Oryzias latipes: one gene and its partners. The protein of the gene in region 4 purifies or fractionates together with the protein of the main gene of each other region. This does not show direct contact. Links are inferred from orthologs where the notes say so. Each region holds a gene or a part of one and is shown on either strand. Other genes may lie near its edges.

Region 1 (3,730 bases), on a different chromosome or scaffold from region 4:
ATGTTGAGAAAAAGTCCGATCTGCCTTGGAATTAGTGGTGCAGGAGGTTGTACTCACGGGGTTGATGGTGTTGACAAGTTTACGGGGTTTGCTGAACTGCATGAGGCTCTCTCTGAGGTTGTTGAGGGGCCCCTCCACCAGAACCTTCTGCTCCTTGTAGTTGTTCAGCAGGTTGTTCCACAGAGGCTGTTTAGACAGGGCTTTGGGGTTCCCCACAATGATCACCCCATACCTTCACACAAACGCACACAGATCAGGTTAGAACCACAGGAGACTGAAAGTGAGGTTCAGAATCTGCACAAATGAGAAGCCCAGGTTGCTCGTGATCTAAACGGTTCTCACTTGGCTCTGGTCAGCGCAACGTTGAGACGACGAGGGTCGTTCAGGAAACCAATGCCCTGGTGCTCATTTGCACGAACACAAGACAGAATGATGAAATCCTTCTCTCTGCCCTGGAAGGCGTCCACGCTGGCAATCTCCACTTGCTATGATGGAACAGGAGAGATGGGGGTATGTCTTAGTAACAGCAGCACAAACACAGTAAGCATTTTAAATGGTTTTGGGTGAATTTGATTTATCATATTCTGTTGATATTTTACATTTTTAGGAGGAAAAGTCAGAAGTGCTGGTACCTGATAAAGTTTGGTGTGCAGGGAGCCACTGAACTGCATATACTGGACCAGGTAGGAGCGCTGGCCCTCATAAGGGGTGATGATGCCGATCTGATCGGGTTTGGCTCCTGCCTTCAGCAGCCTGGTGGTGATTTTCTCAACGTTTGCAGCCTCAGTCCTTAAGAAAAGGAAAAATGGGAATAAAGGCGCTACTCAATCTTCTTTCTCAACAACAAGGCTGGAACATTTTCCTCACTTCTTGTGTATGTTTGGAATGTTTCAACAGTTTTGTTAGTAGGGATGGGTACAGAGCCCCGGTATTGAACGAGCCCCGGGGCAACATTCTTCAAGGCCGCAGTATCGTTAAGATCTGACCTCAACGGTTCTGCTATCGGTACTGGAAAAATCTGGTTTTTTTTGTGTCCCACAAGATATAAACGGTATCTGCCATATTTAACTCACCAAGTTAGTCAATTTTCCGTTAATTAATGATGATATTAATTTCGCTATTCTCGCTGAAGAGGAAAGGTCTGTATGGCTATTTGTGTGCACGGGGGGCGGGGCTGTTGTTCAGACAGTACGCAGGCCCACGTAAAAATTAATTCAATCTGCGCTAGAGCGCCCCGACTATCGTGTCAACCAGAAGCTATGATGACCGTATTTTGCGCTCTCTGTGAAGCATACAGTGGAGGGGCACGGAAAAAAACAACGACTCGCTGCTGCAGAGGAGGTGAACAGGTAGAGAGGAAAAGCAGGTAGAGAGGCGGGGGAGGGGCTTTGACTTCAAACTGTCAGAGAGATGAAAACACGGGCGTCAGATTAAGACGCAGCTTTCACTGCGGGAGTTGAAGCACAGACTTTCTCTGGGATGAGCTTATGAGCTCAAACATTTATTCAATTTGTTTAATATTTACATCATGATAGCAATATGTCAAAACATTGCTGTTTATTTTTCTTTTTTCTTCATGTATTTTACTTTTCAAGTTGGAAAATGTATAAAGTAAAATGTTTTGTTAAAAAAACAATGTTGCATAATGAGGAAATAAAACACTTTATGTTCTTTATTTGTTATTTATTTTTTTTTCGTCCTCAAAAAGTATCTATAAGAGTATCGTTAAAATAGTGGATCGATAAGCAGCATCAGTAAGAGTAGTAGTACCGTTAAAAGCTTAACGATACCCATCCATATTTGTTAGGCAAAAAGAGAATCATTTTCGTCCGTGTTTGTTATTTGTTAGATTATTTACATGAGTTGAGTAGCTTAACCATGGTGCGGTCAACCTTTGGTCAGAATATTGCAGGTTCGATTCCCGCCTTTCCTGCCCATATGTTGAAGCCACCTTGCCTCTAGTGGAAGCTTGGCGCCATTGTTCGGCAGCAGAGTGTGTGTGAATGTGTGTGTGAATGTGACTGTAAAGCGCTTTGGGCCTTCGAGGAAGGTAGAAAAGCGATGTCTAGGCTATTTACCATTTAAACCTAAGCTTTAGCTGTGGTGTTGACACACTCTTTAAACGTTTATGCAATTAACGGAATTCCAGCAGGTTTTGTAGCAGAGAAAAGAAGCTTTGTGCTGAACAGCACTTTACGTTGGTGATGTCTTGCATAACGGTGCAAAGCCAAAATGAAGAGCTGCGTCAGAATCAGCCGATTCACCTTTGTCAAAGATGTATATCAAAGAGCGTGTGTTTTTTAGGTGGTGACATCTCTGGAGATAAAGGGTGAAGTGACTTTACCTGTTAAGGTAGGAGGTTCCAGAGCTGGCAATTTCCTCCTGACCCTGAGTCACATAGAAGAACATGGGTTTATCTGGCTGAGGCCACTGGAAGTCGAAGCCTTTCTTGATGCGATCAGCTGGAAACGACATGAAAATCTCATTGTTTTCTTCACAGCTTTTCTCAGTCCGTGGGAATAAAAGCTCCCCCGAAGGGTCTTTAGACAAACCTGCAGTGACACCGTTCTGCAGCGAGCCCTCATAGAAAATGTTGGAGGGGAAGGCGCTGAGAGCCGGGTGCATGCGGTACTGGACCTGCAGGCGGATTGGCCGGATTCCCAGAACCACCAGTCTTTCAAACAGAGACTGAGACAGGCCCGCCTTTGCTGCCTTCTTGCACATCACCACAGGACCCAGCTGGCAGTGGTCCCCGACAAGAATGAGCTGGGAGGAAGAGTGCAGGTCAAACAGATGTCACACATATACTTGTGATTCATACGTGTGATGACAAATATCCTAAATTAATGTTGCAACAAAGCAACTGAACATCCGTTTGCACTTCTCTGAACAGAGGTGGGATTTATTTACCTGTTTGGCTCCCAGCACCACCGGCACCATACACTCCGGCTCGGTGGCCTGGGTGCTCTCATCAATCAAGATGGAGCGGAACTGCATCTTGGCCAAACGGGGATCCCCAGCCCCGACACAGGTGCAACAAATCACATCAGCGTTCTGGAAAAGAAAAACGGGAACTTATAGTTTGTAGAACTCTTAAGACCTGTGCAAAAGATAAAAAGGTCACTTCTTCTTTATTGTTGATATTCCACTTAGGTGTTATGCCAGCTGAAGTACGGTACTGTGGGGCATTGATCTTCAGTACAGTCAGGTTCTCACTTTAAATCTCTATATTGTTTGCTCTGCAGCTTGCAGTTGTTGCACGTATACAGCAATAATGCTAACAACACAGTACATACACAACAAAGCAATGGTGCATCTGCACTGTTTTTACAGTTTTATACCATTAAAAGTAAAAATAAATAGTACAATGGAGCACAAACTCATAGGTTCTCCATGGAAACACCATCTCAATAGAAGATAGTGATCACAAAAAACTCTTAAATGATCTGAATATTTTCTTTTCATATCTTGGAACCATTTAGATTTTCTGTGCTGCTAAAAAAACAAAGCCATCAAAAAAAAAAAAAAAAAAAAAGCTCCGCATAGATGGGATTTTTGATTGCGTGTTTTTTAATGGGCCAGACCAAAAACCCCTTAAGAGTACATAATGTTCTGTCTACCATCAATCATAGTACAAATGCTGAGCTGTCTTACCATGAGCAGCTCCCTCTCAGCTGTGCGCTTCAGAGCCCTGTAACGTTTCTCATCTGCAGACGACAGCTCTCCAGTC
Region 2 (3,487 bases), on a different chromosome or scaffold from region 4:
CGGTGAAGGGGGATCAGTGTCGGGGTCGGACTCAAAGAGCCTCTGTTTGATGCCTCGGTCCCAGCGGCTGGTCCTGGGTCAGCCAGCAGGAGAACAGAGGAGGGCCTGTCTCTTACTGTACAAACACACTGTACAGTGCTCACACTCACGCGAGTGCGTATCTGTGTGTGTGTGTGTGTGTGTGTGTGTGTGTGTGTATCTGTAGGGGGGGAGCAGGGCATGTGACTGAATAGTAGGTTTCAGGTCTGTAGGTGGTTGACTGATCCCAGACCAGCCATCCTTTGAAGAGTTGGACCAGTTTCTGGAGTCTTTTGACTTCCTGTTAGTAACATACCAACAATGGGATTGAATGGAATTCCTGCTGTAGTAAACAAATGACTTATTTATTTTAATCTACTATTATTTTAACCAAAAATGAATGGTTTCTCCCAGACTAAACTGAAAGGCTGTGAAAACATGATCCTATTAATGCTTCTAGGGAGGCTCTTTGCCCCTTTTGACACTGTGATCTAACATTGATCAAAGCAGAAGGTCGTGAAAAAAAACAACAACTATTTGGCACTTTGGGAACTGTCACAGAAAAGTTTAAAAAAGAATCACAAAGCGGTAAAAGGTGCTCTTAAACCTTGTGCTATCCTAGGCACTTTAACATTGGGAGTTGGGTCATCTAGACCCACTAGACAGTGCTCTGAACCTTTTTTCTTCAATGATTTGTGATCTTCACTGGTGTCCATGGATTACATGAAATCTTCTTCACCTTTATCCACCTTTGTCATGGTAGGGAGAACACGTCAAAGTAAGGGTGGGGTCATCTAAGATAGCACAAGGGTTAAGCCGACTTCTATAGAAATTAAAACCAACTTTTTATTTTGAAAGAGCAATGCACATCTTATTTTGAAATTTGTAACTCAGGAATGGTTTATTTATATTTGTCAATATTGATTATCTTATGTATATATTATGGTAGAGTATTATTATATTTAGTTTTTTAGTCAATCTGTTCAAATATATATATATATATATATATATATATATATATATATATATATATATATATATATATATATATATATATATATATATATATATATATATATATACATAATTGAAAAGTAGTATTGTTATTTAAAGTTGAAAAAATACTCAGAGAAAACAAAAAGCACAAAAGTAACTACCAGACAAAAATTGATATTTTACCTCAGTTAAAAGTTGAACAAAATAGATGAAACTTAAAAATAAAAATTATATATTTTACTTTGTTAAAAATAAATAAATAAAAACACCGGAAACGGAAACTCTAGTAATTCGTTGCTTCTTCGTTGCTGCAGCCTTGACTCTACAAACAAGAAGTCGGAAGAGTCTGTCTGGATTTTTCTTTTCTTTTTTTCTTTTAAAACAACACCACCGAGAAACGTAAATGGCTTTAGAATCCAGAATCACTCAAGAAGAAATTAAAAAGGAGCCAGAGAAACCCATTGACCGGGAGAAGGTAAAAACAGCGGCTCGTTAGCCACGGATGTAGCTAGCAGCCTGGTTTGCTAGGCTAACAACATGCTAAAGGGTATTAAACACAATAACGTCCAACGCCGAAAGCAGCAAAAATTACTATTTTTGTGGCTGAATTTTGCTGCTAAAGGTAGTTTATAAAAGTCTATTTAAATTAACCCAATAAGTGATTTAATGGTTAAAAGAAATCAACCGTTTTGGTGACATACGCGTGCTAGGGTTAGCCTGCTAGCTGATGGCTACATCATGTGAGATTACCAGGGTCCTGGTCCCTCGTGTCCCCCTACATTTGGGTCGCGTGGGCTTATGTTCTGAAGGGAGGCTTTATTCATGTGCTTTTTGGTCGAACCTGTTTAATCGGGTTTCCCGAACTTTGGATCAGTGGGTTCTAGAACCTCAACCCCCCCTTCCCCACCCTCCCTCGCTGAGACTAAAGTCGATACTACGACATTGAACTGGAACCACTTGGATTGTAAAATAATTGTAAATTATTTACTTAAAAATGCAGTACAATACATTTATCACATGCAGTGGTTTTAAATGTATCAATATAGCGCGAGGGGCAGGCAGTCTAATAGAATTCAGCAGCTGGCACACAGTACACTTCCGTTTCACTTGCAAAATAAAAGCATTTAAAAAAGGTCTTTGGACCCAGTATTTCAGTTACTGTTTAAATGTAATGCCTGTATTCTTTTTTGCAGACCTGCCCTCTTCTGCTGCGAGTTTTTACCACCAACAGCGGCCGCCACCACAGAGTAGACGAATTCGCTCGAGGAAATGTTCCCTCAAGTGAACTGCAGATTTACACGTGGTACGTAACTGGTTCCGACTTCCTGGTACTTTAACCCAAGAGTCCAAATGAAATCTAAAGTGAGTCTATTTCTTTCATTTTTTTTTTTTTTTTGGCCAGGATGGATGCCACTCTGAAAGAACTCACCAGTTTAGTGAAGGAGGTTTATCCAGAGGCCAGAAAAAAGGGGACCCACTTTAGCTTCGCTATAGTCTTCCCTGATCTCAGAGGGAAAATGTACAAGTACGTATAATTGTCGTAAACAGCTGTGAATTGGTTTTTTGCTTTGATTGAACCTGTTTTGTTCTGTAGGTTCAAAGAGATCGGCAGTACGATATCTGGCAGAAAGGGTCCAGATGACTCCATGACCTTGCAGTCTCAGCGGTTCCAGATTGGGGATTACCTGGATATCGCCATCACGCCTCCCAACAGAGCCCCGCCTCTTGGCCCACGAATGCGTCCTTTCTGAACCCATGCTCACCTAAATATGTGCTTTGATTGACAACTCTATTTCATTTGTGTCTTCAGTAGTTTTGTGTCATTTTCTAATAAAAAAAAACTTGTGTTCAATAAAGACTTTTCATTTCAAAAATTCACCCTTTTGTTTTTTCTTTCTTGGTCACTAAAATAGTTCGTCACTTTATTTTGAAAGGTAGGCCTACAGATTGCAGTCTCCGGTCGCGCATGCGTAGATTCTCAAACAGTCAGCTAGCAGCAAACTAGCGTAGTTAGCTTTGCTGCGGCGTGAAAACACGTTTTCTCTATCAGAAAATCTCCAAGGTGAAATGTTTCGTAGAAAACTCACTGCTCTGGATTATCACGACCCCGACGGATTCGATTGTTCGGGTAAGAAAACGTTTAAATACGGCGAAGGGGGGAGAAATTCACCCGTTTCCAGCTGACGTTGTCATTATTGTGGAGCCGAACTAAAACTACCCTTCTAAAAATAGCAACTTTATAAGTTATGTGTTCAAAATAGCAACAAGAAAGATTCAAATGTCGTTCTATTTATAGTTTAGAAAGTTTACTGTACCATAATTAATTCGGCGTAGACAGCTTCATGATTTGATCTACTTAATTGAAGAAATTATAACTTTTTTTTTAGCTGCTTGCTAGTTTTTCTAAAACGTTTGCGTTCGTGCATCACTATGCTAGTTTATACAATTGTTTTCAGGCTCTGTGTCCAACTAC
Region 3 (3,730 bases), on a different chromosome or scaffold from region 4:
ACTCACCAGGAGTTTGTCAAAGTATTGGATGTCATCGGGTTTGAGGAAGGGCAGGTTCCCCGAGGGCTGGTCGTTCATCTGTTTGGTGGTGCGGTCCTCCACCTGCATGTGAAAGCCCGTCATCCCGCCGATGGGGGTGGGCGTGGCCGACAGCTTCCGAGCCGGAGTGCGGATTGGCACATACCCTGCTGGGGGGGGCAACACCTGCAGAAAGAAACGGTTGGTAAGACCGCTCACACCATCAGATTGTAAAGTCATGTAACAATGATCTGGTCATGCAGCATGCAGGCTGCGTGGCCTAAACTCCACACCGAACAGAAATGATGTTACGGTGCGTGGAACAGAACTGCGCTAACCGCCATAAATGATTAAAGTCCATGTCTGGTTTCTGTCTGTAGACCTGGAGCAGACGTTTACATGTTCAGCTCAGTCAGAGACACTGTCAGCCTGTCCCCCAACTCTTATTACACAACAGGGCTTAGCCCATTACTGTTGGGGGGCGTGACACGCCACACACACCTTGTAGCCCTCGGGAAACATGGCGTCCAGCTCCTCGTCTGTGAGAGGCCGGTTCCTCTCATCGATTTCTCTCTCCCACCTCCACGCCTGCAGCTGCTCGGGGGTCATGCTCATCAGGTGTCCTGAGGGACACAGAGGCAGCTCTGTTAAAGCCCAATCTTCTGCTGCCAGGGGCTGAAATGGGGGGGTTATTGTTTACCTGGGGTTGGCGTTGCCATGTTCATGGCTGGCGTTCCTAACGGGGTTTTTCCAGGGGTCAGGAGAGGAGTAGAGGACCCCATCTGACTGGCTGGAGTTAGATCCCACCGGGACTTCCTCTTGCTGGCTCCTGGGGTCGGCGTCTCCCCCACAGACTCTTCTCCTCTGTCTGTTCGGGGGGTTTCCGCCCAGCCGCTCCCGTGACCCGGGGTCTCTCTCTCCGTCTTGGGGGTTTCGTCCCAGCGGTTCTTCCGAACGCTCCCAGTGGCCCCTCCGTGGCCAGGGGTGGCGTGGCCAGGCGTGTCCCTACCAGGGGTGGCAGCTCCAGCGGGGGTGTGGCTAGGGGTGGGGTCCCACATCCGTGAGCTGGGGGTGGCCCCCGGGGTCTCGCTGCCTTTAGGACGACCAGGAGTTTCATCCCAGCGGCTGTTTGACGGTGTGTGAGCAGGAGTGTGTCCTGGAGTCTTGAGGACCAGAAAGATCGGTCAACGGCAAAAGTACTTCACAACCATCAGAGTTCAGGGTGGGGAGGGGGCTCACCTCAGCACCGGCATCAGCCTGGTCCCAGCTGGACACCTTCTTGGGTGTGGAATTGGAAGGGGTCTGGTCGGCTGTCTGGTCCCAGCGGCGCTTTCGCTTTGTGCTGGCCTGGGAGGCAGCAGACCCGTTGACCACTTTCAGGTCCCCCGACTTTGCCTTCTCTGCCAGCTGCTGACGGATCTCCCTCTGCAATCCAACACACAGGAAGTCAGAGCCCATCACCAGTTCACAAAGACAAGTCTCCTACAGAGCTTTGGACTGTCTCATTCATGCAGGGCCTGTTCTCACAGGATTCAGCTGGACTTCGAAGGTTCATTTAGAAAAGATTCCTCTGGTTAGCCTGAAGAACAGAATCCTGTCAGAAGAACTCTAGCTGAGGAGGAAAGTAAACACGTCCCTCTGCTGCATCCATCACGTGTTTTAAAGCCGCCTTCAGACTGAATGTGATTCACAGCCTCAGACCAATGCACAGACAGGATCTGAGGTCCTGCGGTAGCGTTTGAGCGTCGGGAACAGCATGTCAGTCCGGCAGCAGCGCGATCTGAACATCATGACACGTCCAGAGTCAAATCTGAACTTTGGCGAGGATAATGCGTCGCGTAAACTTATTAGGAACCCTGCTTTAGGCATGTGGCGTGTTCAGTGACACGATTGGCGGGTGGAGTAAAAACCAACACAAAGTATCTAATCGTTCCTCTGAACTTCAGATTTTTCTTATTTTCATCGAGACAATAGTAAAATGTCCTCTGATCTTATTCCTAGATGTATTTTTCCCTCCTCGGGGGGCAGCAGTCAGACCGCAGAGAAAGCGTCCGTCATTCAGCTCCGGCAGCAGTGGTGAAGCTCTGTACCGGGAGTCTCTGAAAGATCTCATGGACCCAAACATGGAGGCGTGATGACTTCAAAAGAAATAAATCATCATCCGTGTCTTTCATGTATTGTGAATAAGATGAACACAGACACTGCTCCTCGTGGCGATCAGGCTAAAATCATGAGTTGGTAGCTCCTCCCACACGTGTCTGGGGGGGGTCTAGTTTATGAGCAGACGTTTGGATGAGCGTTGAGCAGAGAATTCGCCGCATGTCCATATAGTGGACGCCAAAGCAAATTTGACAGGAACCTGGTAATGAAGGCAGCATAAGGACGGTAGAACAGAAAGACATTCTCCTGATTTGAACGTCGTATCTGGAATTTTAGCAGCAGCTCCTCCTCCTGCAGCGTTTTGGTTAAATAACACACTGAAGCTCACGTTTCTGTGTCAACGTCTGGTTTGAGCGACTGCTAAACGACTGGATCTTAACGCCACTGACTGTCCATGAAAACTGGACTGACTGAGTGTGATGTCCTCCATAGAAAATGGTTCTGGTAATGGCGTATACTTATATAGCGCCTTTCTTCCTACAAGGACAAAGCGCTTTACAGTCACACACACAGTCACACACTGGTGGCGGCTCCGCTGCCAAACACAGGCGCCCGCCTACCACCAGAGGCAAGGTGGGGTTCAGTGTCTTGCCCAAGGACACTTCGACTCATGGGCGTGCAAGGCGGGAATCGAACCTGCAATCTTACGATCATGGGTCGACCGCCCTACCACTGCTCCACAGCCGCCCGTTTTCTTCCAGGTCCAACCAAATGAAGTCAACTCAGTTGGCATACATGGTAAACATGGTTAACATTTCACTGGCAACCACTCTCTCCAATCAGGCCACACCCCTACCACTAGAAAGCAGACTACATGAAATCTGTCAAATGTCTTGAACGTGGGGGCCAGGAGGCTCCACCCACTTTCGTTGAGGGACTACTCAGTCCAGTTCTCGTATACAGTCACCGGTGAGCGCCGTGCAGCAGGACTCTTACCTCCTCTTTGGACAGGTTCTGCTCCAACATGACGTCTACGTACGACCTCACCTGCAGCTTGGGGTCTGGCGTTTTGCCCCCTGCGCGAAAGAGCAGCAACAAAACAAAAGGCACTCATCAGGTTAGACTGCAGACACCCACACACAGCACAAACAGCTAACCCTGACTAACAGATTAATTTGTGTTGCTGCTCTGTTACAGAATAACAATAACTGAATTACATACAAATATGCTTTTCCTGTTTACATTCTAATGAAAAACAAGAAGATACATGGAAAGTTGAGGGTGTGTAGTTTCTTTAAGTGGATTAAGAAGTATAGCCATCACTGATGCAGGGCTCCTGGGCTGCGCTCCTCAGAATACGTACACTTTCAGTGCCAAGGGTCCTTCTGCAGTCAGACTTCAACCGGCAGAAAAGAAGCCTAGAAAATTTCTCTTTACCATTAGTAACACTTTGGAAAGGGTTTGAAGTCACACACAACAGTATACCACCTGTGTTGAATGATTCACGACACTCAAAGAACAAAGAAGCTTCTTCAGGTCAAACTACAAACCCAGGCTCCACTTTGCAGCTTCACCATTACTCAATGTAGCAGAAAATGAAGTCAAATTTGTT
Region 4 (4,246 bases):
CATGACTGACGCCATCGTGTCCTTACGCCACAAACAGGAAGTGATTTAGGTGACCAATAACCAAACTCTGTCCAATCATGAGCCTATTATTGAAGATTAGACCAGGAAGAAGCAGAAATGATGGAAACAAGGAAGCAGAAGGAAAAAACACATTGGTTTGTTTCTGCTGTCAGAGACTGAAAATGAAGTCTCAGAGATGTCAGGTGCTCCAAACCGGAGAAAGGCTGCTCCTGATTTTTGGTCCCTGAGACCCAGAAGCATCTCCGTCTCTGAGGCCGGCCCCAAACCTCTCAGAGAGCTCGTAGTTTAGGACGGTCTGCCAGAACTTCAGCCATGACGGCGGCTTTGACTGACCAGGGTCATTCAGGAAGTGCAGTCACGCCGGAACTCAACTACAGCATTCCCATCGCGGGAGTTGCCTTCTAAAATAACCGGCCACAGGTGAAATCCACAAGCTAGCTGTCAACATTTCCAGACTTTTCTCTTAAAGTTCAAGCCTTCGTAGAAAAATCCGTCCAGGATTCTAGAATGAAAAAGATCTGATGGCGACGAAGAGCAAAAACACCAACAGCCAAGCAAAGATGTGTGGTGGTGAGATGAAGACCTCCCCATGCGCTACAGAGACCACCACCCCCACCCCCCAAAAGCTCTGCTCCCCCACGAATCTGGAATGTTAAAGCAGAAATCTGAAACCATTCTCTGCAGTGACACTAGCAACACTACAGACATGAATTTAAAGTTCTGACCCTGCTAGCGGTTCTGCTGAAGATTCTGCTGAAGGTTCTTCCTAACCTTCACTTAGAACATCTCCATGTCACCGTTAAAATTCACTGAAGTGTTGCTTTAAACGTCCTAAACAGGAAGTGGTGACATCGCGGCCCGATGGCGTCAAATGGACTTTTCAAATCTGACACATTAAGCCGAAAACACGACCACTGAAAGGAAAGGTGACCTTCAAGTGTGTCTGGAACAGGTGGTTCCAACCTGGAAGGACCAACCCTTCCTGCTCCTTCAACACATTTCAGACGTAACCAAAGGTGCCAGAGTTATTCTGATGACCAGCAGGTGAGCTTTCAGCTCAGACAGAGCTGCTTTGCAGGTACAGAAGACGCTGAACAGCAGAGGACCTCACCTTTGTTCAGCATCTCATCAGCTTCATCCAACACCAGCATCTTGATAGCTCTGGTCCTGAGACTGCGGCGCCGAATCATGTCTGTAAAGAGACGCCGTCAGCATTCCCGTTTGTGCCACTTTTGCCATAAAACCCATTGAACCCACCAAAAACCCGTCCAGGGGTGCCAGCTACCACGTGCTGGCCGTAGTCCAGCTTGCGAATGTCCTCGCCCACGTTGGTTCCTCCGATGCAGGCGTGACACTGAACGTTCATGTAGTCTCCCAGAGCCAGCAGCACCTGCACACAGGACACCGTGACTGGCACCGCCGCCTCTACCTTACAAGCCTTTGGCTGAACATGGCGGTGGAGGCGGGGCTACCTTCTGAATCTGTCCGGCCAGCTCTCTGGTTGGAGCAAGAATTAGAGCCTGGGTCTCCCTGACCTGCAGAAGGAACAGCATCACCACCGAGCTGCAAACGGGTTCTGGCCCGTCTGTCACGGGACACAAGAACAGCAAGAACTCACCTGGATGTCCAGACACTGCAGGACGGAAATACAGAAAGTGGCCGTCTTTCCTGTTCCAGACTGGGACCTGAATGCAGCACAGATCACACGTTACAGCATGGAGGACCAGAGCACCTGCATGTTTTCCAGCCCAGACTTACTGAGCGATGACATCTCTGCCTTTGATGATCTGCTTGATGGCTCTCTGCTGAATGGCTGAAGGCTTCTCGAAACCTGTAACAGAACCAGAACCTGGTCAGGTGCTGTCCATCTTCATTTCCACATAGAGAAACCTCATCTGAGAAGTTCCCATGCTGCTCAAACTGAGGGGGACCAAAGTGGGAAGTTCTGGTGATGCTGACCAGAAAGAAAAGTTTTAGTCCCACAGAAAGGATTTCTATGGAGAAACTGGGTTTTAGGGGTAAAGAAGGATCCTCTCAAGCACAATAGTCCAGGAAAATGTAGAGAATTCATCTTTATCAGTGCAACACTTCAATATTACTGTAGATACAAATCTGATCGATTCTGTCTATTGGGATTTCTCCCGTCCTTTTGGGTCCAGATAATATGTTCATAAAATGTTCTGCCGTCTGGAGAAGACAGAACACATGAACAGAAACAAAATTAAAATACACATTAAGACAGAAGTGTTGACATATATTTATTAATAGTTCTGGGGGAAATTAGTAAAATATTCGCTACATATACGAAGCCATATAGGATGGGAACCGTCTAACTCCTGGATCATGACTGTTACGAGCAACAATACCAACAAAGATCGTGTCCAGGCATTACTGAACGAAACCCGCAAATTTTAGTATCTGGTTTTCGTTTAGTAAATAATCAACACGAATTTAAACTAATTTCATGTCAGCGCGGCCGCACGCGGCCTTAGCATGCTAGCATGAAGGCTAAAAAGATGAAGTTTTTCTTCCCGCCAACGACAAAATGATCAGGTCACACCAATCTACCCGCTTTAATGTAAGTTATTACGGGATGTAGTCTGATACCAACTACGTTTTCATTCCTTTTTTAAGGTGAACTGAACCACACAGCGGATTTAGGCTTAGCATCTGGAGGCGGAGGCCTCTCGAATCCACCGGCCTACCGTAGGCGTAGATTCCCCGGAGCAGGTCCTCACGGAGCCCCATGGTGTCGAAGGTAGGGGTGACATCCACCTCTTCACTGGTTTCAAACTCCACCTTGGTCATGTCCTCCTCCTTCAGGAGTCTTCTCCTGCCCGGTGTCCCAGCAGCGGCCATGACGGTCGTGTCTGTCTTCAAAACGAATCGGTAGTCTCCGCAAAAGGGGGGTAACCGCTTTGCTAGCTACTAACAGCGCTCCACGTGTCGCTCTGCTTACGTCATCAGCAGGCGACCAGGTTTATCAGGCGGAAGAGCAATTGTTTTTCGTTTGGAAAAAACATTTGAGGTTTACAATATTGTGGCAGCTGTATAAAGTGTCAAACCACAATTAAAACAGATGTAACCAACTTCCTGGATCTTTTATTTTGGGAGAGGTGTGTCCCTCCCGGGTTACCCTAATTGACCAGCTGGCCAAGATGTTGTTGTCCCATGGGGGGGGAATGGGATGACCATTTGAAATCTGTTGCTTTTGCTTACAACATCTCCAAGCACACCAGCACACGGTTTACTCCCTTTTATCTTATGCACGGGCGCGAAGCCCGGACCCCGGCAGAGGTTCTCATTCCTAGTGGGGTTGGTGGCATTGGCAGTGCAGCCACGCTGCCTTTATACGCGTCGTCTCTTGTGGAGCGGCTGGAGATTGCTTTCAGTGCAGCGAGGGTTAATGCAGCAGAGGCGCAGGAGAAACAGAAACTGTACCATGATGAGAACTCTCACCACAAGGGCTTTACAGAGGGTGCTCTGGTCTGGCTTAATAACCCAACAGAGGGCCGCACAAAACTAGCACCGCACTGGAAAGGTCCCTATCGTGTGGATCGGGTTCTGGCTTCAGGTGCAGAGGCCGCTTTGACATATCGCATTGTCAACCCCCTGGATATGTCTGAGCGGGCCCAGGTTGTTCATCATGACAGGTTAAAACGTTACACTCTTCCCCTGCCTGCTGGTTCCCCAAACGACAGTATGTCCACCCCGCCATCATCCTCTCCTTCGGCGGGTACTTCATTGGACCCCCCAGATAATGGTGATCCACCCCAACAGGGTCAGAGGGACGCGTTTGGGACAGCCCCTGCACACTCCCGCAGTGGCAGAATGGTGCGTGCTCCAACACGTTATCAGGACTTTATTAGGATGTAACAATACAGAGTTATGTCACAGTGAAATTTTTGTTGGTGTTGTGAGGAGACTGTCATATGTTGTTGTGTTTTCCTTCCTTGAAAGATTCTGTTGAATAATATGCTGTTGGTTGGCAGGCAATGTTGTATTATTATTCAGATTTTTTTTTTTCCTCTCCCTCCTGTGGTGGGAAATTTGCCGGTGGGTTCTGTAAACTCATGTTGTTCCTGTTTGGTTGACTTTTGTTGACGCCATATTGGGTCTCGAATGTTTATTTCTTAATTCATTTATTTTATTTATTTTTTTGCACTCCCCGGCCTGTTGCATTTCCTGTAGAAATTGTAGAAATGAGGACATTTCTTTTGAAAGG
Region 5 (4,313 bases), on a different chromosome or scaffold from region 4:
CAGCGTTTCTCCTCACAGGAGTCGTTTCTCTTTAAAATTCTTCAAAGCAATCTGGATTTTTTTCCCCCTTCGATCCTTCTAATGCATCTTTTTAGACTTGCGTTTCAAAACCTGCTTGTCCAAAAGGCTCACCTCTTCCTGTGGATGTGGTTTCTCAGCGGTCCACACCTGCAGCATGGGGACGTGAGTCTTCACCCTCCTCCTGTCCAGGAACACAGCAGAGCGCTGGAGTCAGTCCAACAACAGCTTCAATGGAAAGCAAAAGATGCTCCAGAAAAGAGGCCGCGTCTCACTTGAGGTAGCCTTCGATCTGGCTCAGGAGTCGGTCCATCTCCACGTCCTTCTTCTCATAAAGTTCCTTGCCGACCCACGGCAGGCAGGACAGAACCACGTACACGAACCAGTCCAACCGAACCTGGAGCCAAAAGGGTCTCACGCTTACTGATCTTCATCTTCAAGTCAAATTGAGAAGCTGAAAAATCGTTTTTGTATAAATCTAAAACTATTTTTACACAGAAAACAATCATTTTTATTTTTGATTGGACTGCAGTTCTCCCAAAACCAAGTCATGGAATTTTGAGTCGTCATTGAGAACATCAGATGATACAAAAATAAAGGAGTTTGCTGAATTTGAAATGGGGAAACTCAGACGTTGCAGTAAAACAAAAGGAGGCGCCTTAAATGTGACATTAAGTAAAAAAAGAACGGGATGTTCATAAACTGAAACTTCTGATGCAAACAAATATTCCAGGTGAGGCCGTGCAGAAACAAACCTGTGGCACATCTTCTTCCTGAGTAACACTGATGAAGTTTTCAAACATGGCTACCATGGAAGGGGCAGCGATCACGTGACAGTTGACCAAGTCTGACAGAAAGCGCACCTGAAGAGAGCAGAGAACTTAAACGATGCCGAGAGCAAAAGGCGCTGCAGCAGCTGCGAGTTTAGACATTGAACATCAACAGACCAAGTAAACGGCTTCGTTGTAGAAGTTGTTTTTCAGCGTCTCCTTCAGCTGCCGGATCATGGCCTCCACAAACTCTCCCCCAAAGTTGTAGTTCCTGGCGTTCAGGAGGCCGACTAACGTCGTGTAGACTGTCAGCTTCTCCGGCAGGAGGCGGGCTCTGTCGAAAGACGCGTTTGTGAAAACGGACCGTTTGTTACGCTTGAGAATGAGGAGAACTGCGGACAACTTACACTGCACATAAAATACGCAGGATTTTGTTTTTGTAGTTTGGAAGGTCCGCCTCCAAAACCCCTGCGAGCCCCTCCAGGTTGCTCTCGAGGGACGATGTACTCTTTTAAAAGATCAAAGACGGACTTTAGTTATTGCAAATTATTTAAATAGTAAATATATGGCTTTATGACAAAACGGCCATCGTACTTTTTCTCCAACGCGACATATCAGCGACTCCAGGCGGTCTTCAATCTCAATAGGCTCTGATGTTCTCCTCCTTTTGTGGGCTTGACCTCCTAAAAATGAAAAGGACAGAACTTAAACCTCTGACCTGAGAGGACACTGAAGACAGAAAAACAAATCTACGTTTTGGGGGGAAAATAGTGTATTCGTCTCATAAAATCTAGTGTTTCGACAGTCACACATACTCCATCTGACTTTACTGGAGGTTTCCTCCTATATACTTTAGGTAAACAGAAGAAAAATGGAGAATATTGTGTCTAGGGCTAAAGACAAACAGTTGGACGTCAGCCTGCCGGAGAGCCTCAGAGACCGTAGAGATTTTTCAGAAGAAGCACAAAACCCATCTTTTTAACATCGCTTTGAGATAATTTCATCTGGTTAAAATAAAGATCTGATGTCTAAGCAGGACTTGGCCAAACTTGTTTATGTGTTAAGTCGATCTTTAGTCGACTTGACTACTGTTCCAGTGTTTTTGCTGGACGATACGGCAGCGTATTCAGAACTCTGCTGCTCGGGTCCTTCAAAGGAGCCAAATATTAGACCACATCAGTCCAGTTCTGACCTGTCCGGTAATCTGGATCTGCTCTTTCGTCAGTACCTAGAGTCGAAATCAAACACGAAGAAGCTGCATTCAGCTTCTATGCTCTGTAGATCTGGAACAGACTACCAGAATTAAGCCTTGGATCAGCTGAAACACTCAGTTTATTTAAATGCAGGTTGGTATTTACTTCAGTTCTTTAAATTTTTATTTTGGTGATAACTCCTTTAATATTTCTGTTAAATTTTTCTTTTAGTGTTTTATGTAAAGGACCTTGAATTGCCTTTGTACATAAAATGTGCTTAAGAAATAAACTTGCCTTGCTGATTCTCTCCTTACTGAAATCTCTGAATGAAAGGTAAACACTCAATGGAAGCCAATAGAAGTCATTTATACATACAATGACAAATACATACTAAACTAATCCTACATTATATAAAAATATTGTTAGGTCTGATATTTTTTTAGTGTGGAACCGTGAGACACTTTGGTTGTGAATGTTCCTTTATAAATCACAAAATCCACAGGGCTGTAACATCACGTTTCCATGCGCATGATGATGAACCCACAGAAAAAGTGTCTCTTTCAACACTTACGCCAGTCTTTACAAACATTAAATGTGTTTTGTGTGCCAGAAACCGTTATAAAACATAAATCTGGCCGTTAGCGTTAGCTAAAGTAGCTAACTAACGGAACCGGGTTTTTCTGGTAAAACTTAATCTCTTAAAAATCATTTTTTAAAATCCCCTAATTTATTTAGTAGCTTTAAAAAAATACTTGATATTGGGGCAACGCCTGCTATCGTTGCATTCCTTTAAAGTTATAGCACATACAGATAATCAAGGTAGCTGTAGCTAGCTGCCGCGTTAGCCGTAACGTTTGAATCGCACATGCAGCGCGCGACTTGCCGTCACTGTCGTCGCTGTGTCTCCTCCTGGACATGTTGTCCCCCCTGAGCTGCACGCGTGCAGACACCCGGTGTAAAAAAAATAACGCGGGACAGACCGGTGGATCCGGGAAAAGCTTTGCTTATTTTGAACGGCAGAGTCCGGAGGCGGCAGCAGCAGCAACAGCAGCTTCTTACAGAGAAATAACAGCGGAGCGATTGAAATGATGGACATCCGGGTCATTCAAGGTACAACCGGAAGCTGAACTTCCACTTCCGGTGAGCTGCACACTCGCATGGAAATACAAGGGTATTTACCGCGTTTGAGAACTTATATCTCTCTTTTTGTCAGTATTTACGCGTTCTATCACAAAGTTGCGTTTTTTACGATCACAAACATATTTGTCGTGCATTTAATTTGCCAGTTGAGGAGAATGGCAGCCAGTGAAGCAGTCTGCTCAGAGTTTCTGAACTGGGAGGTCAACACGTCGATGGTTGATCATGGATCAATTAAGCAAAACAAACACATTTCTGCTGCTCACAGAAAATATTACAGGTTCTGCAGGAGAAAGGTAGGAGAATATCTGGCTTCTCTTTCCACAAAGACAACGCAGAATGATTGAAAACAGAATAAAAAATGACTAAACTAATCTAAACTAAATATTGATTCTGACCCAATTCTGGGCAGTTTGCATCTTTTATATATTAGTAATATTATTACTACTAGGTAGTAATATTATTACTACCTAAGGTATTCAAGACATGAAAGTTAGAGAATATCTTTGGTATTTGTTTTTGTTTTTCTGTGTATCAAATCTAATCAATCTTTATTTATGTAAAATTTATATAATTCTAGAACATGATAACACAAAGTGCTTTACACCAAAACAAACAACATAAAAAAGGCACAACAATTTAGAAATAGATCCTGTAGTTAAAAACATATTTGACCATTTTACAGTTGAAAACTCACCTTTCACCAGGCGTTCATTAAATGATTACTTTATATTTAGTGAGGCACATTTACCTTCTGTCCTGGGACAACAAATAGAGGGGGGGGGGCTTTTGGCCAACTGGTAAATTTGCAGAGAGGCTTTTTTTTAGTGTTTGATGTCACAAACAAACAAATACATAAAAAAAAATTTGTTGCTTCTTTTAAATTGTCACTTTAGACATATAAAATTCTTCCCTGTTTTTGTCATAAACAGATTATTACCGTTTACCGGACCAAATAGATGTAAATCAATGCTTAAATCATTTATAGATATGTAATATATTTCAGGCTTGATCAGAGTATTGACAGGCCAAAATTTGGCTCATTACGTAAATATTGACGTGAACCTCAATGATGATGATGATGATGATGATGATTCAAGACATCACATTTAGAAACTCCTTTAGTCGGTCCAACTTTTTTGGAAACCATATATTTCTGGAAGTATTTGAAACAGAATACATTTGCTTGATTGAG
Region 6 (4,191 bases), on a different chromosome or scaffold from region 4:
AACTTTTGGCACATGGTTGGTGTGAAGAAAACTATAACTAAATGTTAGGTAGGATGACTTTTTTAAAGGTTAATCCATGTGAAAAACAGGAGAACTAACAACAGCTTTAAGAAAATTGTAAAAAGTCAACTTCTCTTAAAAAGAAAATCATCAAAAAAAGCAAAATTTCTTTTAGCATAGACTTAAATGATGCATCCTCATTTACATAAAGGAGATTGCAGCAAATATTTAAGTAATGTTAATAGCATACTGTTTTCAGACCTTTATAAAATTCATTACGTGGATTATAATATTCAATGAATTTTTTCATTTATTATCCATTTTGTATGATCAAAAGCTTTACAAATAAAACTGACAGTTTAATTAAATGTGTTTATTGTATAAAAAGTCTACAGAGACAAAATAAATTTAACATTTTGAATTCTTACCACAAGAGAAAAACAAACACAAAAAACCCACCCAATTAAACAAAGCTATAACTTTGTTAGAGAATTGCAATCAGAAGGGTAAAAAATAAAAAAGGAAACAGAAAAAAAACATTTCTTCAAAATAATTCACTGGATAATTTATTATCTACTGAACAAAAAAGTCTGGTATGACCCTTTATATTTCTTTAATTCCAAATAAGAGAAATAGGAGTGAGATGCTGCAGGTTTTTCAATTTAGAGAAAATGTTAACTGCACTCAAAAAGAATCATAAAACAATTTTAGAAAATAGTTTTGTAACTAACTGGTGACAAAAAAAAGAGTTAATAAAAGCTCCACCCCAGTAATGCACATTCACTACACCTAAACAAAATGTCTCAATTGTTAAGAAAAACAACAACATTCTATTTCAAATGGATTTGACTGATGATATCAGATTGAAATAAATGGTATTCATAGAAGATTTATTCCTTCTCTGTTCATCTCCAAGTCCTAGATCTCTTTGGACACTGCCTGCTTTTTGTTGATCATCAGGGAATAAATTCAGTCCTGTATGAAGTCCAATCAAAACACTCAGACTTGGTCTAAAAAGTATTGCGAGCTTCTGTGCTCCGCTGTTGCTGCGCCAGCTTCCCATAGCCTCCTCTGGCAGGATCGTAGTCCTGCCTGTACTCATCTCTCACCTACACAAAAACAGAGACAACAATCAAACATTTTCATAGACGTATGTACTTTGTGACGCAAACTGCATCAACAAACACTTTTGGACTTTTCACAGACACTTTAACCATATCTCACCTGTCCTCCAGACTTTCCTCGCCCGTACTGCCGGCCCTCTTTGAAGCCAGCATCCCAATCTGTCCTGATGATGCGATCATCCAGCCGTGTGCCATTAACGAAGCGCATGGCGTTTTCTGCATCTCCTCGTGTGTAATATCTGGCACGCCAGCAGTTAAATCCTTTCTAACAAAAGCTTCAGTCGGCTTGGGCTGCACTGGGATGTTACTGTCGGCTTCTTAATAAGTTTGATAGATTTCATGCAAAACAATTTCTACATTTAAACAGTTCTAAGGTATGTAATAAAACTAAGTTTGTACTCTGTAACCACAAGCAAAAACACTTTAGAGTGAACATTAACAGAATACCTACTATAACTGTAGTTAAGGTTTAAATTACTATACTCGCTGTGTGTTTTACAAACTCATTAGAGCCTAAATGGTGTAAATGTAGATACCTATGGAGCTTTGCCAAAATGATGAAGAAAAGTAACTGCCACAACACAAATCATGAGGTCTTAATTATTTAAAAGATGACAAAAATATTTATCAAATAATGTAAGTCATATGTTATTTAGGGAGATGGAATCACAAAATGTACATTTTTACCTTTGCATAGAAGATAAATCATCCATGTCTGGTTGTTCAAAAGGATACTCTACAAAGCAGAAGCCACAGGCAGTTTTTTTGACTTTATCAAGGCCGATGATGATCCTCTTAACATCTCCGCATTTAGCAAACAACTCATGAACCTGTTAAAAAGTCACCAAAGGAAAGAAATTAATTTTAAAAAAAAAAGACTTAAGACGTGAAAAAAAAAAAAAAAAAATTGACCTAATTATTTCATTACCAGGACTGGAGATCATAACTTCACATCAGTCTGAAGCAGAGTTGAAGAATCTCACCTGCTCCTCAGTGGTGTAGAAGGACAGATTCCCCACATACAAAGTGTTGCTCTGTTTCAGCAGCTTCTCCTGTTCATAACGGTTCCCCTAATACCGAACAAGCAATGAAAAATTGTCAACACTTGACAATTAATAGACATTTGGCACGAAAAAAATACAACACCTTTTTATTTCACCTCCTTTATTTCTTTAAGCTATAAATCAACCTGTGTAAGGCATTTTAAAAGTGGAAGGTTAAAATAAATAAATCTAATCTATAAATTTATTGCCCATTCGAAATGTTAACTATAGATTTTATTTTCTTGGGTCTTCTTGTGCTGCTGCCTCTTGTTGTCCACGTAGCACCCTTTTTTTATTTTTAAATATTTTTAAGATTCATTTATAAAAGGTTCTATATCTTCTAAAGCTTGATTTGAATTAAAGTAAAATTATGCATCCATCAAAACAACGAAAATAACGAACGAAACAGAAAAATAATTGTTTCAGTGTAGCAAAAGCTTTATTATTTTTATATTGAATTTGGACTAAGAAACAGCAATGCAAGCAATTAAAACGCGGTGTAATTAAGAGAATAACATGTTTGTTTTGTAACTTTACTAAAGCGATTGACAAGGAGCAAAATTATTGGTGCAATCAATTTAATTTTAAAATGAAGCATAACCGCGCTTTTGTTTTCACATGTTTTGCTAGCTTGATGGGTCTAAAACAACTCATATGACTTCTACGTTCATTTCTCACTTACCTTAAAATGTTGGTCCCTATACTGACTAACTTCAATGTAAGAATCGCTGTGTAAAGCGTTTAATTTAACAGACATTATGATGCAAACGGTCAAAAAGCCGCGTAACTGCTAACCAGTGTTAGCGTGAGAGGTATCAGTTCCGGTTGTGCGCTCGTTTATTGACTCCGGGTGGATATTTGACCTGGACATCTGACAGTCTTTGTTGTTGGAAACATAATTTTAAATACGATGAGTTATTGGTGATGCTCTTTTTCTACTCATGCTTTTAACTTTGTGATTAAAGGAAATATCTTTAACTTTGTTTTTCCTGTTATTGATAGATTTATTGCTTTCTTCTTTTGGGCGTTTTGTTCAGTTTTGCCTGGGTTATAGTTGTCACGTTTGTTCAAAGTTTGAAATAAATAAAAGCTCAAGCCTCATAAAAATTGGCGAGGAACTTAAAAAAAAGTATTTTCTGTTGTATGAAGATGGCACTTACAAAAGTCTATTTTTAGGTTAGTATATGTTGCCAATTACAAAAATGTAAAAACCTTATATTTCAAATGTTTGGATATCTTTCTTCTTTAAAATAAAATCACCAGCTTTTAAATCTGAATTGATATTTGCTTTACAGGTTTTTCTTTACTCTTTTAGAAAATATTGTAAAGTTTCTGAGATTCATTCAGAAACCTTTATGCAAAGCTATTCCATCTCAAGGGCACACAGAATTGCACCATCTTTGCATAGTATTGCACTGCAATACTCCAGCTGCAGACTATATGTGAAACGTGGAACCATGCTATTGGCTGCAGCCTGATTACAACAGTTTATTCTGTTCTGTCTTACTTTTTTCACATTTTTTTTAAATGTACATTAGATAAATGTTAGTATTTAAAACTGTTACTCATCCTTCTTGACTTTAACAGTTCTACTATATGCAAAATGCCTACTAACTGTCCAGAAGAGAAAACTTTTAGTCTTGTGCACAGATTTATCACATCTGTTTCTTGCTTTTGACTTCTGACACATTTAAACATTCAAAGTTCAAAAATTAATACATTGCAAAAAAAAAAAGAAAAAAGAAACAATTTAAACACAGGGTGGCATTTTATTTTTTGGAACAAAGTGAACACAAATGTTCCCCCCTAATCTGTTCCACTGATTCACTTTCATTGATTTAATGTAAATTTAACTACCTAAACAAATCAGAAATGTATTAGAGTTTGCATCAAAGAAATAAGAAATTAAGAATAACGTTGCTCAAAAGCAGGACAGTTCTTTAGAAAAGATGAACCCAGCTGCTGGCTGACAGTTTGCTACATAGCAAGTCCAAAACATGATCAGCTCATAATAAAGAGTTGTG
Region 7 (4,217 bases), on a different chromosome or scaffold from region 4:
AAATGAAAATAAAATTAGAGGAACTTATTATTGTGTGGGAACAAATAAAGACACAGCTCAGACGGAAAACTATCAGATTCTCCATTTCGGTTTTGGACACAGCCCTCAGATCACGTCATCACAGGCCTGAGGCAAGTCCCTGGGTGGTTAACGAATTCAACGCCAACGTTTAGACATTTGAAGTCTGGATGCACCGCCCGAGGCGCCGCTGCCGAACCTCAGATCGTGTCAGCACAAAACTGGACGCCTTCGACGTGTGAATCCCATTCGGTGTGAAGATAGCTTAAAAAATTACTGAAACAGGCTGCAAATTTTTCTTGTGCTAAAAAAAAAAGAAACAAATGTTGTAAACTGCTCTGTGTTTGACTAATCAACCCCCCCACTGACCCGTTTACCTGAAGCTAGCCTTTTTCCAGCTAACAGAGTTGTGACTGCTGTGACCTACGATGTGCCCAGATCCCCTAACATCAGCACCATCAAGCTCCTCTGACAGCAGGCTCCATCTATCTGATCACTCCCATTGAAACAAAGACTCACATGGTGGATGACAAAGCTAGAGTTTAAACAATAAAAGTCTCTTCAAACCAGCTGTCTCTTCACTTTCAAAACTGAAATCAGCAGTGTACTGAATGAAGCAGGGAAACTTACTAGTTTTTTTGGATTTCAACAAGCTAGATATGACGAAAGGAAGGCAGACTGCCGGCCGCGTAGGTAGAATTGGCGGAATAGGAGTGGACAGATGCTGCAAGGTGATTAGATGGCAGGCAGATGGGGGCTGGTTGTGGCTTTTTTCCTGCTTTAATTGGTAAGCTGACGGCTGCTGCTGGTGGGTTGTAGACATTTGGGAACATTTTACGCTGATTGGTCGGGAATGTGAAGTGGGTGGCTGCCCTTTGGTTTAAGGCTGAAGGAGCAGGAGGTTGAGAACGGCATGCTGAGGAACCAATGGGCTGGTGCAACCTGACGACTGGCCAAGCCTGGGTCATGTGACAGCACCAGCCAAGCTGATTGGGACACGACGGTCAGCAGTCGCGTGATGCTGAAAGAGGACTAGTTGACTGAGGGTGGTGAGAAGAGGCATGGTGGTGGTTCTGCAATGGGTTTCATTCTTATTAATATAGATGAAAAGTAAAAAAAAAATATAAAGACATTTGGCAGTTTTACCCCTCACACCGCCCGCCCCAAACTTTATACAAATTTACTTCTTTTTCCAAACTAAAAACTTTATTTATGACCTCTTGTCACTGTCAAACTCCTAAACAAAGATTTGGGTGTGCACACGAAACACACACAAAAGGACTCTGGCTGTTAAAAGCCAAAGTCCCATTCTACACAATGTACTTTTGACAAATATTTGAATATTTTGTGTGTTTTCCTTGTTGCACAAAGTAAGCGCAGACAGGTCAACAGTCACCAAAAAAGAAAGAAAGAAAAGATAAATTAACAACACAACAACCCAGACTGGAAACCCAAAAGCAGTTCTCAGGAAATGTACTGTAAAGTAAATCACATAAGAGGATATAAAGCTAAGAAATCCCTTCCATCAAAGAACCCCTGGGTTACCTTCTCCTGGGTGGCGGGCTGCTACGCCGCCTGTAGTCGTCCCGTTCCCGCGGCCGCCTGCTCCACGATGGAGGAGCGCCGCGACTGCGGCTGCGCTTCTCCCCGTTAGACAGCTCCACGCGCACCCGGCAGCCGCACAGTGTCCTGCGACAACATTCACGCCTGTCATTCATTTCATACCAAACGCTGATTTCTGTGGAATTGCTGGTGGCCAGACAAACCCGTTTGGGAGGATTTTGCGGGCCGTACCTACAAAAATCACACAGGGAGGGACGTACCTTCCATCCAGTTCTCGCACCGCATCCGTTGCATCTCTGGGATCTTCAAACTCTACGAAGGCGAAACCTGGGGGGTTCCTGGCCACCCAGACGCTACGAAGAGGTCCGTAGTAGCCAAAGGCGCGCTCCAACTCGGTTTTGTTCCCATTGTTGCCCAAATTTCCAACGTAGACCTTACAGTCCAGGGGACAGTCACGGTGCATGATGGAATCTGGAATAATCAAAACCACGGGGTTATAAACACAAGGATCAGCTAAAAATATAAGAAGATGATAGATTACATTTCTGGTTTCAAATCAAGCAATTCTACTGTAGTCGACTGATCGGTTTCGTGGATGAACCAGGACAGACCAAACTAACAGTACGGCCGGAGATCCGCCTCTGCTCTGCCACCGATGATAATGATGCTCCAAATACCTGTTTTTCAATGAGCCACAATAAACAAACGAAGATTTCGATAAATATAGTTACAAATGTTCTTACTTTGGTGGGCTGGGTCTAAATACGCATCGAGTTTCCACTACACGCGATCATCATTTAGAAAACTGATCCACATTTCTACCAAAGTTAGCATAAAATGCTAACTTTAGCCACACGATCGTGTAAAGTTAGCCATAACCGGTAGCTTTAAGCTCACACTTAGCAACTCTATTTCAGTTTTGTAGTTTGACTTTTTTTTTAAACACACAGACTTCACTAACGGAGAAAACGGGTGAATAAAAGCAGCTAAAATGGCTGTCGATACTCCGCGGCCTTCTCCTCCTGCGGCGGCGGCGGGTTCAACACACGACGTGATCAGACAATGGCGCACGCGGCTGCTTCCTTTAGCGCTAAAGCACGTGTCTACGGCGCTGAAGGTCCGTGAATGTCTGCACTACCTGTACCGGAGCCGAAGGAATTCACCGCTGAGAAGAACTCTTTTTCACGTGCACCCGTCTCGCCGATGCACTGCCTCCAGCCGACGGTGGAAAATGGCGTGACGGAGAATACGTTCGACTGTAAAAAGTGACCAGGATGCTGCACCGCGAGGGGCGGGGCTTCTCTGTGCGCGCTCGCGAGCGTCGACATCAAAAGCCAGTTCGGTGTTCCCCGGGACAACGCCGAGAAGATCACTTCAGCACATTTTAAACCGGTTTAGCCACAGCAGAGGCCTGTTTCACAGCAGCCAATTTACGCTGACTGTTCATTTCCGGGTTTGTTGGTTGTATCAAATTCTCCAAAAGATACATGGAGAAAAAATATTTGCAGCTGTTTTCATTTATACAAATAATTACAAATTGTTGATTTTTTTTAAAAATTTCCTTTTATACTTAAATAGTGGTTATACACAAGTCAAGTTTATTTGTAGAGAACATTTAAAAAAAAGACAATACAAAGGGCTTTACATAAAACATTAAAGGAAACATAAAAAGGTATTAAAGGAGTGATCAATAAGTAAAAAAAGATTAATAGAGCTGAATGTAAAGTAATGTGGATGTAAACTTTTGCATAAAACTAATCAAATGCAGCTGAGAACAGGTGGCAGTTAAAGACCAACAGCGATGAGAATTGTGTTGTTAGTGTTTTTAAATGTTCTTGTGGCATTTTTCTCATGTTGGAGGACATTTATGAAGAAAATTAGGCCTAAAACTGCATTTCTAAGTATTTCTTCATTCAAATCGTTGTGAACCAGGAGCAGATGAAAAAATGTCGCAATTCAGTACTTTAGTCTATAAATGGATCTTAAAGAAGTAAAAAAGAAAAAAAACAGTTTTTGAAGTTTTAGTCATAAACAACAACAAAAGCATGAATGTCAACAATAAGGAAAGAAAAAAAGAAAGGAATGCACAATGTACGGAACATCACAAAAGCAAAACAAAAAAATAACAATGAGCTGCAGAGTTTATTAAAAAAATTACCTTTTGAAATATTACATTTGTTGAAATTTCTTTTTTCTTTTTTATTTGTTTGATACTTTCACTATATTTAATTATTTCATTCAAAAAGTGTTCAAAATCAAGTTTAGAGTTTGACCATTTCCTTTTATATATATGAAATTTCTCAAAAACAAAATAAATTGTGTTATAAAAATAAAGTTCTGCTTCATGTTGTCATAACAGCCCAAAATGGTTTGTTTTTCTGAAAATGTGATTGTTTTTCCAGTTTTATGACTAATGTCATTTCCAACGTGACTCCAAATCTGTCCAATGTTCTTTTAAAGACTATAAATAATGTGGTATTCTGCTGGTTCCTGGTGTCGTCCTGCTGTGGCTCAACATCTGTGGCTCCAACCAGTCCCCTTCACCGATGCACAGATGGTCCAGGATGGTGCTGCAGGCAATGATTTTCCCGCGAAGGTTGGTTTTACTTCCAACGCCCCCAGAAATACTGCTCTCC

Evidence for each region.
Region 1: the proteins of eif4a3 (region 4) and upf1 purify together in Homo sapiens (co-immunoprecipitation; 8 studies listed by BioGRID and IntAct, with this or other methods). This does not show direct contact. The link is inferred for Oryzias latipes from reciprocal best matches to the Homo sapiens genes EIF4A3 and UPF1.
Region 2: the proteins of eif4a3 (region 4) and sap18 fractionate together in Homo sapiens (co-fractionation; 3 studies listed by BioGRID and IntAct, with this or other methods). This does not show direct contact. The link is inferred for Oryzias latipes from reciprocal best matches to the Homo sapiens genes EIF4A3 and SAP18.
Region 3: the proteins of eif4a3 (region 4) and sf3b1 purify together in Homo sapiens (co-immunoprecipitation; 3 studies listed by BioGRID and IntAct, with this or other methods). This does not show direct contact. The link is inferred for Oryzias latipes from reciprocal best matches to the Homo sapiens genes EIF4A3 and SF3B1.
Region 5: the proteins of eif4a3 (region 4) and ncbp1 purify together in Homo sapiens (co-immunoprecipitation; 3 studies listed by BioGRID and IntAct, with this or other methods). This does not show direct contact. The link is inferred for Oryzias latipes from reciprocal best matches to the Homo sapiens genes EIF4A3 and NCBP1.
Region 6: the proteins of eif4a3 (region 4) and ncbp2 purify together in Homo sapiens (co-immunoprecipitation; 3 studies listed by BioGRID and IntAct, with this or other methods). This does not show direct contact. The link is inferred for Oryzias latipes from reciprocal best matches to the Homo sapiens genes EIF4A3 and NCBP2.
Region 7: the proteins of eif4a3 (region 4) and serine/arginine-rich splicing factor 3 purify together in Homo sapiens (affinity purification with mass spectrometry; 3 studies listed by BioGRID and IntAct, with this or other methods). This does not show direct contact. The link is inferred for Oryzias latipes from reciprocal best matches to the Homo sapiens genes EIF4A3 and SRSF3.

Annotation. Positions count from the first base shown.
Region 1 is NC_019862.2:13,856,077-13,859,806, reverse strand, and holds part of upf1 (regulator of nonsense transcripts 1), read right to left. Parts: coding exon 3,655-3,730; intron 3,055-3,654; coding exon 2,911-3,054; intron 2,767-2,910; coding exon 2,553-2,766; intron 2,463-2,552; coding exon 2,345-2,462; intron 790-2,344; coding exon 633-789; intron 486-632; coding exon 343-485; intron 233-342; coding exon 58-232; intron 1-57. UniProt on the Homo sapiens protein: RNA-dependent helicase required for nonsense-mediated decay (NMD) of aberrant mRNAs containing premature stop codons and modulates the expression level of normal mRNAs.
Region 2 is NC_019860.2:16,860,090-16,863,576, forward strand, and holds sap18 (histone deacetylase complex subunit SAP18), read left to right. Parts: upstream 1-1,295; 5' UTR 1,296-1,417; coding exon 1,418-1,489; intron 1,490-2,207; coding exon 2,208-2,317; intron 2,318-2,416; coding exon 2,417-2,539; intron 2,540-2,608; coding exon 2,609-2,765; 3' UTR 2,766-2,892; downstream 2,893-3,487. Other genes in the region: rtraf (RNA transcription, translation and transport factor protein), read left to right, coding at 3,082-3,142. UniProt on the Homo sapiens protein: Component of the SIN3-repressing complex. Enhances the ability of SIN3-HDAC1-mediated transcriptional repression. When tethered to the promoter, it can direct the formation of a repressive complex to core histone proteins.
Region 3 is NC_019879.2:178,122-181,851, forward strand, and holds part of sf3b1 (splicing factor 3B subunit 1), read right to left. Parts: exon of another isoform or gene 3,482-3,730; intron 3,195-3,481; coding exon 3,115-3,194; intron 1,444-3,114; coding exon 1,258-1,443; intron 1,182-1,257; coding exon 719-1,181; intron 642-718; coding exon 520-641; intron 205-519; coding exon 7-204; intron 1-6. UniProt on the Homo sapiens protein: Component of the 17S U2 SnRNP complex of the spliceosome, a large ribonucleoprotein complex that removes introns from transcribed pre-mRNAs.
Region 4 is NC_019859.2:158,008-162,253, forward strand, and holds the start of eif4a3 (eukaryotic initiation factor 4A-III), read right to left. Parts: upstream 2,984-4,246; 5' UTR 2,881-2,983; coding exon 2,727-2,880; intron 1,853-2,726; coding exon 1,780-1,852; intron 1,707-1,779; coding exon 1,640-1,706; intron 1,557-1,639; coding exon 1,494-1,556; intron 1,412-1,493; coding exon 1,279-1,411; intron 1,214-1,278; coding exon 1,133-1,213; intron 1-1,132. UniProt on the Homo sapiens protein: ATP-dependent RNA helicase. Involved in pre-mRNA splicing as component of the spliceosome. Core component of the splicing-dependent multiprotein exon junction complex (EJC) deposited at splice junctions on mRNAs.
Region 5 is NC_019868.2:27,750,829-27,755,141, reverse strand, and holds the start of ncbp1 (nuclear cap-binding protein subunit 1), read right to left. Parts: upstream 2,899-4,313; coding exon 2,865-2,898; intron 1,472-2,864; coding exon 1,383-1,471; intron 1,297-1,382; coding exon 1,196-1,296; intron 1,123-1,195; coding exon 966-1,122; intron 882-965; coding exon 774-881; intron 416-773; coding exon 294-415; intron 203-293; coding exon 133-202; intron 1-132. Other genes in the region: tstd2 (thiosulfate sulfurtransferase/rhodanese-like domain-containing protein 2), read left to right, coding at 3,139-3,414. UniProt on the Homo sapiens protein: Component of the cap-binding complex (CBC), which binds cotranscriptionally to the 5'-cap of pre-mRNAs and is involved in various processes such as pre-mRNA splicing, translation regulation, nonsense-mediated mRNA decay, RNA-mediated gene silencing (RNAi) by microRNAs (miRNAs) and mRNA export.
Region 6 is NC_019862.2:17,994,184-17,998,374, reverse strand, and holds ncbp2 (nuclear cap-binding protein subunit 2), read right to left. Parts: upstream 3,018-4,191; 5' UTR 2,925-3,017; coding exon 2,850-2,924; intron 2,195-2,849; coding exon 2,108-2,194; intron 1,955-2,107; coding exon 1,860-1,954; intron 1,364-1,859; coding exon 1,225-1,363; intron 1,110-1,224; coding exon 1,011-1,109; 3' UTR 356-1,010; downstream 1-355. UniProt on the Homo sapiens protein: Component of the cap-binding complex (CBC), which binds co-transcriptionally to the 5' cap of pre-mRNAs and is involved in various processes such as pre-mRNA splicing, translation regulation, nonsense-mediated mRNA decay, RNA-mediated gene silencing (RNAi) by microRNAs (miRNAs) and mRNA export.
Region 7 is NC_019863.2:2,322,451-2,326,667, forward strand, and holds the start of serine/arginine-rich splicing factor 3, read right to left. Parts: upstream 2,930-4,217; 5' UTR 2,910-2,929; coding exon 2,720-2,909; intron 2,053-2,719; coding exon 1,842-2,052; intron 1,708-1,841; coding exon 1,564-1,707; intron 1,092-1,563; exon of another isoform or gene 1-1,091. UniProt on the Homo sapiens protein: Splicing factor, which binds the consensus motif 5'-C[ACU][AU]C[ACU][AC]C-3' within pre-mRNA and promotes specific exons inclusion during alternative splicing.